2 linked regions of the Alligator mississippiensis genome follow. The protein of the gene in region 1 interacts with the protein of each later gene in a pairwise test. Links are inferred from orthologs where the notes say so. Each region holds a gene or a part of one and is shown in the gene's direction. Other genes may lie near its edges. The genes, in order: ESRRG and PNRC2.

Region 1 (8,088 bases):
CACCTCCTGCTTAGCTCCATGGTGGTATGGAAAGTAAAACAAGTCTTTTCTTCAGTTTGTGGGTTTAACTGTTGTCCTCGAGACTATGTGAGGTAGTGATTGGGTGCATTTACACATGTCGCTATGGTGACGTTACTGTGCTGTGATTTAGTACTTCCATTAAGTTAACTAAATAAGGTGGTGCACAGTTATTTTTATCAGCTACTTTGTTTGGGGCATGCTATACCCAGGGAGCTCGTTGCTATTGCTGTGGAAAAGTAACTGCTGGTCATGTGTAGACACCCGTGGACATTCCAGCGCTGTAGCGTGTTGTTATGGTGACATAGCGTCATGCATAGAGGCACCCATTGTCTGGTCCAAAAGGCTATGTAGTTGGGTAAAACTGGGGAAAAAACTGTCAAGTAAGTTGACTTTGCCCTCAATTTTGGAAGCTTCTCTGTAGGAACAGACTCTCCTGAGCTCACACAAGGAAATGATAATTGTAATGGGACTGTGCTGACTCTGTGGGGCCTGTGGGGGATCTATCTGGCCAGGTCTAGTTGCGGGATCAGGACCTTGTTAGCAAGGTAGCGGAAATAGGTGTTGCCATACATAGATGTAGGACCCATACACAACTTACAAAGTTTCTCTCTTAGTTTCTTTATCAGTTTGTCATGGAATACTGGATGGAACGAAAGGTTCTGGCCCTAATCTTCTAAACCCTCTTTTAATTGGACCTGGATTAATTCAGGGCTACCTCTTCTGCTCTGAGATCAGTATACGTTTTCTAGAGCAAGTACTTTTATCTACAGAAATCAGGTACTGTGGGAAATAGAGCTTTTCTTAGGAAATCAGAATAACTACAGCTCTTAAGATCTTCCAGATGAAATTAAAAACATCATTTTTTTTTAGATTACTCATGATAATGGATATAGTTATAAATTACAAGCAGTATACTGTATATATATTTTAAATTAAGGTGCCACATTTGGAAAGAGGGGGAGGCTCTGGATTCAAGATGTTAAAACTATATCTTGCATTTTTGTAATATTGAAAAATGCTCATAGAACCTTTGAATTACTCTGGTGTAGAAAATGATACAATATTTCTTCCTGTGTCCTGTTGTCTGTCTCTTTTTCTCTCTCAATCTATCTAGTCTGATTTTTCCTTTCCATTTTAATTTCTCCCTTCTCTTTAATTAAGTTCACCCAAAGCCACAGGATCTTGGAGAGCTTTCCAAATAATTAGATCTTGTTGCTTGTTTGCAATGTATTCCAAACTCTATTATATTATCTTTTGTTTTACTCTTGTTTTATCTGTGCTTTAGAATAGCATGCCATTTGGGATATTGTTAACCATACATACACTTTATGCGGTCCTAGCTCATTTCATTCTCCCTTTAATATGTATTTATTCCTTATGACATTTTTAATAATGAGTGTTATGTTACCTTTCTGTTGTTGTTGTTGCTGTCTGTCTCCCATGACAATGTCGTGATATACCCACTTTCTCAATATATCTATATATATTTCTGTTTTCTTTCCATAGGGCAAAATATGTGGTAGGAGCTCTCAGCCAGTGAAAAGGCCTAATTCTGATCTCATTTACTATTTTCTAGTGTGCGCCAGGGATAATTCCACTGAAATCAGTGGAATACTGTTAGTATAAAAGATTTAGATTAAGATCAGAATCAACCCTTAAATGTTAATTTGTTAAATCTTTGGACTTATACAGCATCAGTTGTATGGAGCATATGCTAGTAGATGCTCATGTTTGAAGTGATGATTCATAGCTAATCGTTATAAGAAATAGGCTTGCCACTTCATAAACTCTAGGAAAGACTGTTTTCTTTTCCAAACATTTAAATTACTCAGCCGTTTTATGCATTAAAACCCAATTATAACTTACAGAGTATTTCAGAGATTTTTGAAAGCTATTTCCTTGAGGAACTGTGCCTAGACCTGCATTTTATCACTGAGGAGTTCTTGCACTCAAATACAGCTTTATTTTTTTAACAGAACAGTGCTTGAAAAACAGCAAGACACTTGACCAGACATCAGGTATTGCCCTGTAACACTGAAGTTCTTGATAAATCTAACAAAAAAACCATACTTCGTCATTTTAAAGGGTGAAATTGTATTCTTAGATCAACATGTGTTTATCTTTTTACAAAAATGATCTTTTGTGGGTTGAAACAGAAATTTATTCTACTCAGGACCGGTTTTACTTTTGTGACAGTTTAGAGACCTACTGTGGTTAGGCTTTTGCTACAGTTGAGAACACCCCTCCCCTGCCCCATCCTTCTGGTGCCCCTCCCTTTAGGTGGTGTCTGGGGCATGTGCCACTTTCGCTCACCTCATGTTACATTACTGATTCAAGCAGTTTCAACCGTTCTCTAGTCAGTTAGTTAACTGAAGTCTGAAAACCCACGTAAAATACACCCATGCTACCACTAACCCCACTTTATGCTATTTAAAGAATAACAGCTTCCTTTAACCAGCGCTGTGAAATCTCAGGACACCTAAATCACCTGCAAAATATAATTTGCCTCCTTTTGAAATTGCAACAATTAGGGGCATGCAAAGGATTTTTCACTGAGCTTCCTTAAGCATTTTTAACACTGCATATGGTGAACAAATCCAGAATGAAATTTCTTATCTGTGCTTTGAGAAGGGGTTCTAGTATTATGTAGAATGAAGTATACCTGCTGTTGAATTGAAAGGTGTGTCTCAAACATCTGCTTTTTAGCTGTCACATACTTGTACTCATGGGCAAGGGACAGAAGTTACACATTAACCAGTTTAAGTGATCAGAAACCGGTTTAAACCTGTAACAGAACAGAAAGTCAGTGCACATAAACCACTTTCAAAATGGCTGAAGCTGGTTTAAGATGAACCTGGTTTAATGCAGTATCAGACTTAACTGATTTAGGTCAAACCAGTTTATGGAACTTCTGTCCCAGACCCCTTCCTGGTTCAAGTTAAGTCACAGTCCCCCAGCATCCCAGGATGCTTTGCAGCCCTGGGCTGAGCTGTTCTGTCTGCTCCCTAGCCAGAGCACTATTACTGCTCTGGCTAGCTGAGAAGGGGGTGGGGGTGGAAAAATCTGGCTTCAGAAGGCAGCCGGGTCTCCCTGCAAGGGCTGGAGCAGCCCCTGCCAGACTTTTCTCCCACTCGCCACTGGAGTGGTGAAAGGGCAGGTGGCCTGACCCTGCGGCCAAGCAGGCAGAATGAGGCAGAGGGGGAGAGGGAGCTCCAGGCCCTGCCAGGCAGTTCTGCGCTTGAGCGGAGGAGGTGGGGGCATGGCCAAATGCTGGCCGCAGGCTACATCCTGAAGCAGGGAGGAGGAAGAGGGTGTTTAAACCCCTCTCCTTCTCTCAGCCTGGGCCTCCTGGGTTGAGGGAGGGAACGGGGTTTAAATCCCCTCTCCCTTCCCTCTGCTTCAGGGTGCCAGCCCAGGGCTGGCATCTGGCCACACCTGTGCCCCTTCCACTCAAGCGAGGCGCAGGGAAAAGCCAGATGGGGGCTGCTGCGCCCCTGCCAGGCAGACCCAGGCTGAAGGAGGGAGAGGGCTTTGAACCCCTGTCCCTCCCCTCTGCTTCAGCATGCGGCTCAGGGACAGCATCTGGCCATGCCTCCACCCCCTCCACTCGAGCCGGGCGTGGGGAAAAGCCTGGAAGTGGCTGCTGTGCCCCTGCCAGGCAGACCCCTGCTGGGGTCCCGTGCAGGCAAGGGAATTTAAACCCACCCCCCTCTTCCCTCTCAGCATGCTGGCCTGGGCCAGGGTCCAGCCACACCCCCTCCTCTGCTTCAGTGGGGAGTAGGGAAAAAGCCTGGCAGGTGCTGCTTTTTCCCTCCACCCCAGGGGCATCCTGGCTGGGGTCCCTGCAGGTTTAAACCCCTCTCTATAACCATAGTCAGGCGCACCCCTGCCCACACCCCCACTCTGCTCATGCAGGGAGCAGGAAAAGCCTGGAGGGCTTTTCTCCCAGCTTCCCCCTAGCCTTCTGGCCACTGCTAAAGGGTAGGGAAGGCTGCTAGCAGCCCCCAGCTTCTAGCCTAAGTCACTGCAGGCATGTGACTGCATTTCCAGAATGTCTGTTCACTTGCTTCTTGGTTCAATCTCCGCAGCTTAGACTAACTTGCAAACATTGAATCAATTCCGCCTCAGGCCTTTTGATTGTCTGTACTTAGCCATGTGGTCTACATTCCTGGTATTCCCCAGATAAAAATTAGCCATAACCACCATGCCACAAAATCTCTACTGTTTCATACTGGAATAGAGATGATTTGTAATAGTAAACCTGATTTGACCGTGTCCAGCTAAGAAGCGGTATGATGTTTGACATATTTGAAGTATACATAAAGCAAAAATGGATATGTGGATCAGATCTTACTATTCTAAGCCAGAAAGCTCATTGTGATTTTAGCTAATGCCTGAGTTTTTGTTTGCTTGGTTTTTGTTTGCAAAGAAAATGTAAACACTTACAAATAGCTAAACACGTTAAAGTACTGCTCAGAAACTTGACTACTGACTGAACTTTGAACTTCTGAAGCTCAATAAGCTGGCCGTTTAGCCACCTTTTGGAAAAATATTTGGTAAAAGTGTAACCACCTAGACCACAGTTACCAGGAGTGAGAGGTGACCAGGAATTGTCTAGTAGGTTCACAAAACCGATGACATTTTATTTAAAGGGCCAATTTCTGTTCTCATTGATACTGCTGAAGTTCAGGAGTAATTCTGAATATTCATCTCTGATGCACACGTTGTTAAGTGAGAATATAATTTGGCTGGCTCAAAACTTTCAAATGTAGACATGGGGAGAACAACTTAGGTTAAATACAAACTGTGCTGTCATATTTTAGTAAACAAAAGTAGTGACTTACAATGTTCTAATTCCTTCTAAATTCATTTTTACAGATAGGGATGCATCAAATATCTATGAAGTTGTACCTAGGATGGCCATCCAAGAACACATGCATTCTAGAAAAGGGTAAAAAACATATAAACGTCTACAATTAAAGAAATCAGGTGTCAGAAGAAGCAGCAAGGTCTGCCCAAGGACACATGTTCATTTTTGGCACTACAGCATGCATCATGTGGGCACCAGCTGTGCCACTGCTAGTGGTGGCAGCAGAATCCCCCCAGCAACGCTACGCTGCTGCTTCACCAAGGTAGCATTGGCCCTATGACGGCCACTCTCCTTCTCTTTCTGGTGGGTAGGGAGAGGAGGGGAAGTTCAGCATTATGGGATACTGGGAACCAGGAGACCTCCTATAATGCTACGTCTAACTGTCCACACATTACCTGTAGTGATTCATAGAAGTTCCTGTGTGTAATAGGGCCATATATAGCACCACAGATGTAATGCGTATCCATGACTTGTGTTGTAGATGATGTTATTGGGCTCCAGGGTTGTCATTTTTGGGAAAGTAAAAGGGGAATAAAAATAATAATGGGGGCAGGCAGTAGCACTTCTGTTTTTCACATTTATTGTGAGTCTTGTGGAGCCCAAGTTCAGATAAGAGTCTGATGTGTTCCTTCATGCAGAGCTGTGAGACAATATGAATTATAGTTCCCAAAGATATTAAGATTTACTAAGGAAAGTCATACTTGTCAATAGCTCCTCTTGTTAGATATCTAAAGTTCAAGTGCTTGTTTGCTTTAGTTAAGTGCTTTGAAGTATTTCAAAAGGCATTGGCCCATTTATATAAACAAATAGAATAACTCACTGATAGTCTACTGTACCCAGATAGAGTGTTTTACCAAACGCTCAGAAATCCCTTGGCAGTGTCTGGAAAGGAGCTACCTTGCTGGTCTCCAGCATATTTGAATCTTCATTAAAAGAAAGTAATTTTATATGCTTGCATCGGGACAATACTTACCTTCAGACACAATTTTCACCTTGCAATAAACCATGAAGATACGAAGCAGGCATTCAAATCAGTAGCTTAGAATATTATTTACCCAGGTGACAAAGGTGATTAAAGATATCGAGAATAATCTGTAAGATTGATTTTTTCTTTTGGAATATTTCCATTACTAGCATTAGTATTTATTTGTGCCCAGACTTTTCTTTTCTCCCTTTGGCTGGAGTGAATATATTCAGGAATATATTTCATTGTTAGTAGCCATGCTTGTCTGCAAAAATAAAAGGAAATTATATATTAATAAATACTAGCTGAATCTAGTTAGTGGGTTTCAGAACTCTTTGAGCATAGTGGTATTTTTTTTCTGTTTCCCCTGATTCAGTGCTAAGAGGTCATATAGTCACAACTAAGACATTTTGGACCATCATACTTGCAAAACTCCCTTGAAATGCCTGTCCCTTAACAGAGAAAGAATTAACCAGTATTAAGGCAGACTTTTATGTTATTTGCATATTTCCCGTAACACCAGTCAATTCTACACATCATAACAACTGGGCCACACCATTATTGCTCTTTTGAGTTAGGTCCACGATAGCATTGTCCCTTTTATGATCATGAAGCTCCTTAACTCCATTGAGATTTTGCAGAAGGATAGGGAAATGTTAATAAGCAAATCTCTCATTTACACCCTCTCACACATACATGTTGGGGGCTATTTGTGGGATTTGCCTGTTCTATTGCAGGAAGATATTTACTGAACTAAAGGCAGTGAAGTGAAGGCAAGCTGAATCCTTCAAAGTTTGGTTAGCAAAAATAGAATCTCTAAGGGGCAGCAGTTTGTGGAGGTCTTTGCTCTTTGCTATTGCCCTTTGCAAAGTAGGTAATGATATTCAGAGCCACTTTGTCCCAGCAGGGCCTGATTCTCCCACTGCGGGATCCTAGTGAAGAGCTCCATGAGCTGTTCATCAAACTGTAGCTTCTCTGAACAAATAGTGCAAGGATTAGTTGTTAGACCTGGGCTGAAATGCAAAACAGAGAGCTGTCTTCATCCATTCCAAACCATGAGCAACTAACCTCTGGAATGCAAAATAATGTGAGCATAAGGACTTCACTGAATTAAGCTTTTACTGCTGAAATGGCAATCTGGATGAGATCAGTGTGTCATAATCTTGATTTGCATGTGCTTTCTTTTATGTGATCCATGGGCTGTTTGTAAGCTTCAGAGGGAGTCATAAGCCAGTGGATTTAGTGCTATTGCTAATTTAAACTGCACTTAATAAAACAGAAGTTTGAAAAATCTTACAAATCAGTGAATGTGGCATAGTTTGAAGATTACTTTTGCCAAGTTTGATCAGCTCTAAGTGAAACCTTTTCTAAATATTAGTTGTGAGATTAATCAGGCAGGGTAAGAACTTGAATTATTCCTCATCACAGGAAAACAACACAGTAAGTTATCTCTTTGTCTAGTAGGATCATAAAAACATAATTTTTGAAGATTTATGATTTATGTTGTATAAAATCAGATCAAAGGAAACACGCATTAAGCCAAAACTGTCATTTTTTGTTTTTAGTTTTTATTTCAAGATTATGTATTGTAGTTGAAGCTGGTTGCACCACCACTTGCTAAGCCTGGAAGACCCCAGGTTCAGTTGCTAATAATCCTATCAGATTTTAACTACTCCAGTTGGATTTTTCTTGGCCAGGTAATTATAGATAAAATGGTCCAGTCATTTTCACCAGTGATGTTGGGGGGGGGGAAAAAAATAGGTTTTTGCCCATGTTAAATTCATACAAGGTTTTTGTGGAGAACCTTGGTATCTCCATCCTGAACACTGACTTTAAATTTGACAGAGGGGTTGCCCTATGTTAGGAGTGAACTTTTTGTGAAAATTTGCCCATATATGGCCAAACTATAAGTCTTCCAAAAAAACCTCAGTTCACATTAGCGCAGCAATTTTTTTATAAGCGTTTAACAATTGAGTGCTCCTAAACCAGGGAGCAACAGACAATGTCATCCAGCCCATGGGCACCCACCAACTAATTATACCCCAGCTAGCCTCACTCCCACCCTCGTGTGCAGAAGGGCCCCAGCCTAGCCAGCACACAGCTTCTGGGCAGGGCTGCTGCCACTGCTGCAGCCACTGGGGGACCTGCTCGGCTTTCCTGGCCTCCAGCAGCTCCTCCTGTGTCCCTGCTGCAGTGCTTACTCCAGGCAGCAGGTAGGGAAGTGGCAGGGGGA
Region 2 (7,347 bases), on another chromosome or scaffold:
TCTTATTAGGAGTTTGCATAAGACAGGGCACAATGGAGAGCTAGGGTACAACTGGAGACTGGCCCCAGCGGTCATTACACTGAAGTAAAGGAAGGACAGATTAGGAGTGGGTGGAGGTTTCTTGGGTTTCATGATTTTATCATTTTTGAAAGCCCCTCATTTATAACATCTAGGAGCAGTTCAGTTCCTGGATGCTAAAAATACCGCGAGGACAAATCTTTTATTTCAACATGAATGGGCCCTTGAGGCAAAAGACAAGCCTGTGAAAACCTAAGCAGAAATACCAAGTTATGCGATTTTATTAATGTTTTTTTTGTAGAACACAATGACACAGCACAGCTGTGTTTTTTTATATGTAAATTAAATTATGAAATCCATTCCACTCATGCTGTGTTAGATTTTAGCATTTAAAAAAAAAAATCTAATTTTGAGAAATAAAAGCTAGTTGATACAGGCCCTTCAGACAAGTTTCTAAAAGTACATGATACAACTGCACAAGGAAATAGAGGAAGGAAGCAAATCAGTTTTATTAAGTTGTCAAATAACTTACTAAGGGATGTTCCATAGCATGGAAACTGAAAACATCTGAACTGCAAAGCCATTCAGAGTAATTAACTTGAACTTTTGTGCTCTAATTAATTATTTTAAAGCCATTCCACTATAAACAGGTTGTGGGATATGTGAGAGCAGGGAGTGAATAATCCTATTAAAATGTAGAGAATATTTTTCTCTTGAGCTAGTATGGGAAACTCTGATATCAATGGTACAAGTTCTGGTTTGCCCAGATAATGAAATATGCAGTTTGGCTGAACAGCTCACTACTTAGTTCAGATCCAGCTGGGGAAACGTTGGATGCCAAAGTTGTTTCAAATATGCTGAACAAGTAAATTCTTTTAGCTGTTTACATGACTATTTTTGTCTTTCAGCACGAAGCACTTATCTAGTATGAAAAATTTACTGTTCAAAATGGAAGGAAGGAGCTATGGGATTCAGTCTGGAGCTTAATCAGAAAAAAACATGAATTTTAAAAGGGTCCGATTCAGAAGAGACGTGTGGGTGTTTCATTATAACTTTGAGAGCACATATTTCAAGAGGGAGCTTGAAAAGCAGTTAAAAAGAAAATACAGTATGTTCAATGATACGAGTATGGGAAAGACCTGAGGCATGCTAGACCAGGAAATGATTAGGAAATAGTTGTTTAACTAGTAAGATAGGCAGCAATATATACAGTTTGAATGAATCCCACGGGGACAGTCCTTGCTGGATACATGTTAGAGTGAAGACACTGTTTGTGCTGAGTAGAAAAAACAATTACAAATACCAGAAGTAAAATGTTCACGTGATAGGACACTATTTGTAACCCTATTTTTAAATGTTTTTAAAGAGGATGACCTGTTAGGTCACGTGAAAACAGCTGAAGGATGAAACAAAATATTTAGCTAAACTTTTGTTGATTTAACAACTTATATTTATATCAGATAGGAAAAAAATGTGAACCCTCACGCTTCAGCACATTGCCTAGATTAGAAATAAACACCTTTTAGGGGTGGAGTATTTTATAATTGTGCATTATGGGGGTGTTGCACTTTTTCTCTAAAGCAGCTGTTTTTTGCCACTACTCAAGGCAGCATGTTCGGTGATTTGATCCTTCGTGGCAGTTTGCTCACTTCCAGACCAGCTCCTATATACAAGTGTGTAGCAGGCTGAACATAGAGAGTGTCGGCTTTTAATATTGCTGTAATGCTTCCCAAGTTTGCTTATGAACAGAAATTGTGCAGTTTGGATTTGCCTTTTTTTTTCCTATCCACTCTGACACCCTATTAGAAAACCAGACTCTTCTTATTCTATTACCATAAATGCCTCCCTAATGAGAACTATTTACATACAGGTGGTGACCCTGAATATAGAAAGACACTGCATTCTGTTCAAAAAGGATCATTGTAATGCTGAGTCATAAATAAAAATGAATATATTGATAACATTACAATTGATACCGCTACAATTCAGTTCTGGTCCAGTTCAAACGAGTTATCTGTCCTTAGGTATTGCCAGAATCAAAGTGAGTCCCTTAAAAGAACAGAACCTTAGACAGACCGAGCCTACAATAGTTATAGAGAACTGAAGGCTTCTTTTATATCACAGATGAATTAATCAAATGGTATTTAATCAACATGAAGTTGATACACATGTGATCAGTGTATGGTCTCAATATCCAGAGCTTGCATCAAACGCTGTATTTCTCATGCATGTTTGTTTTGAGGACAGATCTCAGACACAGAACCTACTATATTATTTGTCTCTAGAGCAGCTGGCAACTTTATTGGGAGTCTTTACTCATGTACTTGAAGATTAAATTATACTCAGACTCGTGCCAATTTAGAGAACTCAGATGGTGTCATGGCACTTACTCTAGATTTATTGCAGTTTGGGCAGAATTTGGCTTTAAATCAGGATATAATCTTGGATACTTTCTTGACCAAAGAGTAATTCCTTTAGTTTAGGATGACACACTTCAAAGCAAGGCTACTTATGCCCAGTTGTGGTGGTGGCGGGGGGAAACACAGGGGGTAGGGCTGCTTTGTTTGTAGATGTTAGTGCTCACTCTGGTAAATTTGGTACTATTAACGGGTGCTAAAATAAAAGCCCTTAAATATATTGCTTATTAATTATTCTGTGCGAGTTCAGCATTGATACTTGAAGGCAAGTTCAAAATGATTTCAACAGAACAAAATCATTTAACAGATGTTGAAGTGTTCTGTAATGTAAATAGCAAGTACAAACATATACCAGATTGGGATTATGGTTGGAAATAGCTAGGCCCCGGAGGCTATGTGCTACATAACATCCTCTCTTTGGCTTGTGTGGAGTACTAGATGAGTTTAGACATGCGGAGAGCTGGGGTCACATACACTTAATATGCCTTTCCTTTTAGCTGGCAACACGCAGAGTTTACAAAAACATTTTAACTTTCATCTGCTCAAAATCAGATTGTGTATTGAGCGTACAGCTCTGCCTACACTACCATAATATGCTTTAGGAATAAGAGCATTTACAAGAGAGAGTTGGGAGATGGTTATCTGCCGAACACGCATACTCAGAGATCTCTTTCCTCTTCCGAGAACGTGGTAACACTTATTTTTGCAAAACTTGTTACACCTCTCTATTGCTCTCCCTGAACGTATGCTTGTTTCAGAAAACATCCAGAACCCGACGATCAATCAAATAACACAATGGTTCTCCGACACGTTGAGTCATACTTGTTGAGAAATACTGTGTTGTAAGTTTATTATGCGTATCGCTGTGAGTAACAGGGCTGTCAACAGCCACGCACGTAACGAAAACCGGAGTGCTGTATAGCTGGGTGGCAAGGCACCAACTCCACACGGGAGGGGGATGGACTAGGGGCAGAAGTTACACCTAAACCGGTTTAAGTTGTCAGAACCTGGTTTAAACCTGCAATACAACAGAAGTTCGGTGCAGGTAAACCCGTTTCAGAATGGCTGAAACCGGTTTAAGATAAACCTGGTTGAACGTGGTATCGGACCGAACCGGTTCGGGTCAGACGGGTTATGAACCGTCTCTCCCGGACCCCCGAGCGCGTCGTTTTTGCGCTCTTCGACGCCGCTCTCAGCTCCGCCGCTTTCACGGACGCGGGAGGCGTTCGGCTTCGCGTCCTAGCTGCCGGTGTCAGGAGACGGTCTGGGAACCAAAACAAATCTCTTCTTCTGAAGGGGACAAGTAGTTTCTCGCCCTCCTGGCTTTCCAGAACGTGGGCCGCCGCTTCCTAACAACTCAGGTGCTTGAAGACAAAGAGAAAAAAAGAGTTTTTGTTTTGTTTTAAACCAGTTCCCCCTGCTCTTTGTGGGAGGGGTGACCCATCTTCCCCCCCTCCCCAGTGCCCAGGGCAGGGGGGGGGGGGGTCTCCTCAGGAAGGGACGACGCCCCCCTCCCTACCCCTCAGCGCTCCCTCCCCTCCCCCTTCCCGACAGGCTCCGCTCCCAGGAGCAATTCAAACCGCCACCGCCAAGCCCCGCCCCTTCCTCCCCTCACGCCCCAGCAACAGGCGGACCCGGCTCCTATTGGCCGGGCCCGTGATGCGCCGCGCTCCTATTGGCTCGCGCCGCAAGAGGGAGGGGCGGGGGGAGCCGCGGCCGTATAGAGTACGGGGAGGCGGCCGCCATTTCGTGTGGGAGCGAGCGAGCGAGGGGGCGGCCGCGGTAGGAGTCCGTGGAGCGGGGAGTGAGCGAGCGGCGGGGGTGGCTCCGCGCATAGCGGAGAAGCGGCGGGACCGGCTGCCCGAGGCTCGGTGCAGGCGGGAGAGGCGGGCGGGGTGGGCGGGGGAAGGAGCCGAGCGCGGCCGCCATGTTGTGCCGCTCTATTGTTGGGGGAGGGGTCCGTCCCGGCGCTGCCCCGAGCCCCCGGGGCTGGGCCCCGCCGCGGGCGCCGCGCCTGCGAGTGGCGCTGGAGGCTCCGCCCCCTCGCGGACCCACGAGCGTTTCCCGCACGGCCGCGGCGTCAACAAGTGGATCAAATGCTCGCATCGGAGCCCGAGGAGAGACGCGTTTCCGTGCGCTGCGCCAGGCCCTCCCTTGTTTGTTTAATTAAAATGATGATGATTATTTTGTGTGTGAAGAAACAGTAAAAACGCAGCCTCACGGAAACGAGAGCGGCTGTGCAATGGCCCTACGGAGGATAAATGGTCTTGGACGTCGTCCGTCTTTTGTTCGCGAACTGTCTTCGCCCCTTTGTCTGGGGCGAGGGAGCGTGCCCTGCCCTGCCGGGCACAGTTTCAAACCCAAGACATTTTTCAGCGATCAGCTGTTTGTTTTCTTTTTCCCCGCCCAGGGTCAGTTTTCGCTTCTCTTTGCAGCTGGGACTTCTCACCTGGAGCCTGTTTGCTGAGAATCCGATGTGGGGCTCGGCTTCGTGGCTGGACACGGCAGATCGGCCCATGAAAACGTCTATCCCCAGCCAAAGGAAGAGGTCCGGCAAAAGACAGCACCTCCTTTTCCAGGCTTGGCAGCAGAAGAGGGGACGGGAGGTGGCGGCGGTAGAGTCCGAGAAGAAGACTGAAAGGTAACGGGGAGAGCGGAGCACGAGCCGGCGTTTGGCCGTTATGTCTCGGCCAAAAGTGCTTTGGGAAGTAGCTCTTTGAAATTGCGCTGAAGAATTCAAATGCTTCTCACTCTTTTCATAGTCTCGCATCGTTATATGAGCACCCTCCAATAATTTTGCTGTGTTTTTTTTTTTTCTTTTTCCCCCCACCTCCCCAGGGAGAAAATAGCATGTTTTGATGATGATTATTACTATTATTTATTCTAATTTTAAAAAGTCATAGCAGCCTCTCTTTATTCGTGAAGGCAAGTGGCACAGGGCTGTTAGCTTGGGGGTTTGTGACTGCGGTTTTGATTGTTCTGAAGAGGTTTTTTGTAGAATTAACGCTGAAGTGACCCAGGTCACTCCACTGTTTTCTGGAAAAATAAAAGGTAGCATTCTGATAAAACAGCTGTTCTGGAATGGTCAGCTGCGGTCCCTGTGTAGAGGTTTAGGCAAAGTTCACTTATCACCGATTGTGGATGTTCTAGTTCAGCCATGAAGGGGCTGAGCTGTTTACAGCCTTTCTACCTAGCCAGCAACTGCAGACTGTATCATTCATGGATACTGCGTGAGGACTTAGTGTGAAGAAACACTCCTGGGCTGTGGACTGATTTAAGCAATCGCAGTCCGGATGCACGTTCTTGATTGAAGTGTTTCCAAAACAGGACTTGACAGTGTTTGTTCTGTGAAGCGCTGGGCTGTCTCAGTGACAATAACAGTCTTCTGTTGTGAAGGGCAGGTAGTACTAGAGGTCACCGAACTCCAAACATTTTGTTTTAACATTGGAATGCATTCATTGAATTAAGCTTGAGTTAGTTTAAAAAACAAAACAACTAAATGAAAGGCTCTCGTGGAACTTCAGTAAGTGTTACCATTCCCTCTCAAACAGGTGACATTGAAGTTGAAGATGGGTGGTGGAGAAAGATTCAACATTCCAGTTCCCCAGCCTAGAAATATTAACAAGAATCACCAACAACTTAAAAACAGGCAAAAAAGCAAAGATCAGAATTCTCAGATGAAGATTACCTATAAGAAGAAAGAAAGGGGGCATGGATGCAACTCATCATCTGTTGCATGGCAGGCCATGCAAAAAGGAGGAAAGAATGCTGTGCACTTCCAAAATAATCAGAATTGGAATCCTGCTTTATCAAGTCCCAACACACTTTTTACATCTCGAACCAATCAGAACTATGCTGGAGCAAAATTTAGTGAGCCACCTTCACCAAGTGTTCTTCCTAAACCTCCAAGCCACTGGGTACCTGTTTCTTTTAACCCTTCTGATAAAGAAGTAATGACCTTTCAACTTAAAACATTACTAAAAGTCCAGGCTTGAGAGAACTTGAAACACATTTAAAATTACAGGGTTTCAAATTTGAGAATGAGTCAAAATACATAGTTCCAAAATGCACTGTTTCTCATGAGATTGCTTTGTTGCATATAAAAGTTGTGTCATGACGAGACACGAGGACTTTTCTTGAGGATCTCAAACTTCCACCTCATTCAGGTTTGGTGCATTTTACTGTGAAAAACGTATTTACTTACCATTATGCAACCTAATCAGTTTTTTCAGTGGCTATTAATGCCTGCATTTACTGTATTGGTCTTAAATTGAACTGTTCTCAAATTTGAAGTAATGCTACTTAAAAAAGCTGGGTATCTCAGTGGGTAAGAGCTGCTGTTATAAAACCAACTTTTCTACAATGTAATGCAGCAATAGAAAGAGTATGCAACTTACAGAACACTATGAAATCTTTAGAAAACAGAACTACTATCTTTTACACTTAAAGGTCCATCAGTCACATGAAGTCTTTTTAAGGCTAATTAGCAAGGTTTTTTTCTAAGCAAGCCTCTATCTGGCTCCAGTTGTATCAGTGAATTTTTACTTGGCATTTGTCAGTCATCAGTTGACAGGGCAGACTAACATCTGAGCCTGTGACCAAGACTTTGACTTACTCCAAATTTTAGGGGAGGGGGGTGGTAAAGAAAGTCAAAGGAAATAACATCTTGAGCTTTATCAAAATATAGCAATGCATTTATCTAGAACCTGACCAAGTTGAAGTGTGCCAACTAATGCAGCACTTTGCAGTGCCAGGTGACTGCTAAAAACTTTTACAACCTTTCCTTATTTGGATTGCACTGAGCAGCTTTTAAAATGCATTTTTGTATTGGTTTTATATATCTGAAAGAACAGAAATTAGAGTTGTTCAGGTTAGTGTTAAATTTGGATACCTGGTAATATGGATGTTTAAA

Evidence for each region.
Region 2: the proteins of ESRRG (region 1) and PNRC2 interact in binary tests that used the Homo sapiens proteins (3 or more experiments, as listed by UniProt). The link is inferred for Alligator mississippiensis from reciprocal best matches to the Homo sapiens genes ESRRG and PNRC2.

The regions. Positions count from the first base shown.
Region 1 is NC_081824.1:186,318,817-186,326,904, forward strand, and holds the start of ESRRG (estrogen-related receptor gamma), read left to right. Parts: upstream 1-4,916; 5' UTR 4,917-5,046; coding exon 5,047-5,153; intron 5,154-8,088. UniProt on the Homo sapiens protein: Orphan receptor that acts as a transcription activator in the absence of bound ligand. Binds specifically to an estrogen response element and activates reporter genes controlled by estrogen response elements.
Region 2 is NC_081829.1:4,429,524-4,436,870, reverse strand, and holds the start of PNRC2 (proline-rich nuclear receptor coactivator 2), read left to right. Parts: upstream 1-4,124; 5' UTR 4,125-4,217; intron 4,218-4,392; exon of another isoform or gene 4,393-4,870; 5' UTR 4,871-5,076; intron 5,077-5,986; 5' UTR 5,987-6,004; coding exon 6,005-6,430; 3' UTR 6,431-7,347. UniProt on the Homo sapiens protein: Involved in nonsense-mediated mRNA decay (NMD) by acting as a bridge between the mRNA decapping complex and the NMD machinery. May act by targeting the NMD machinery to the P-body and recruiting the decapping machinery to aberrant mRNAs.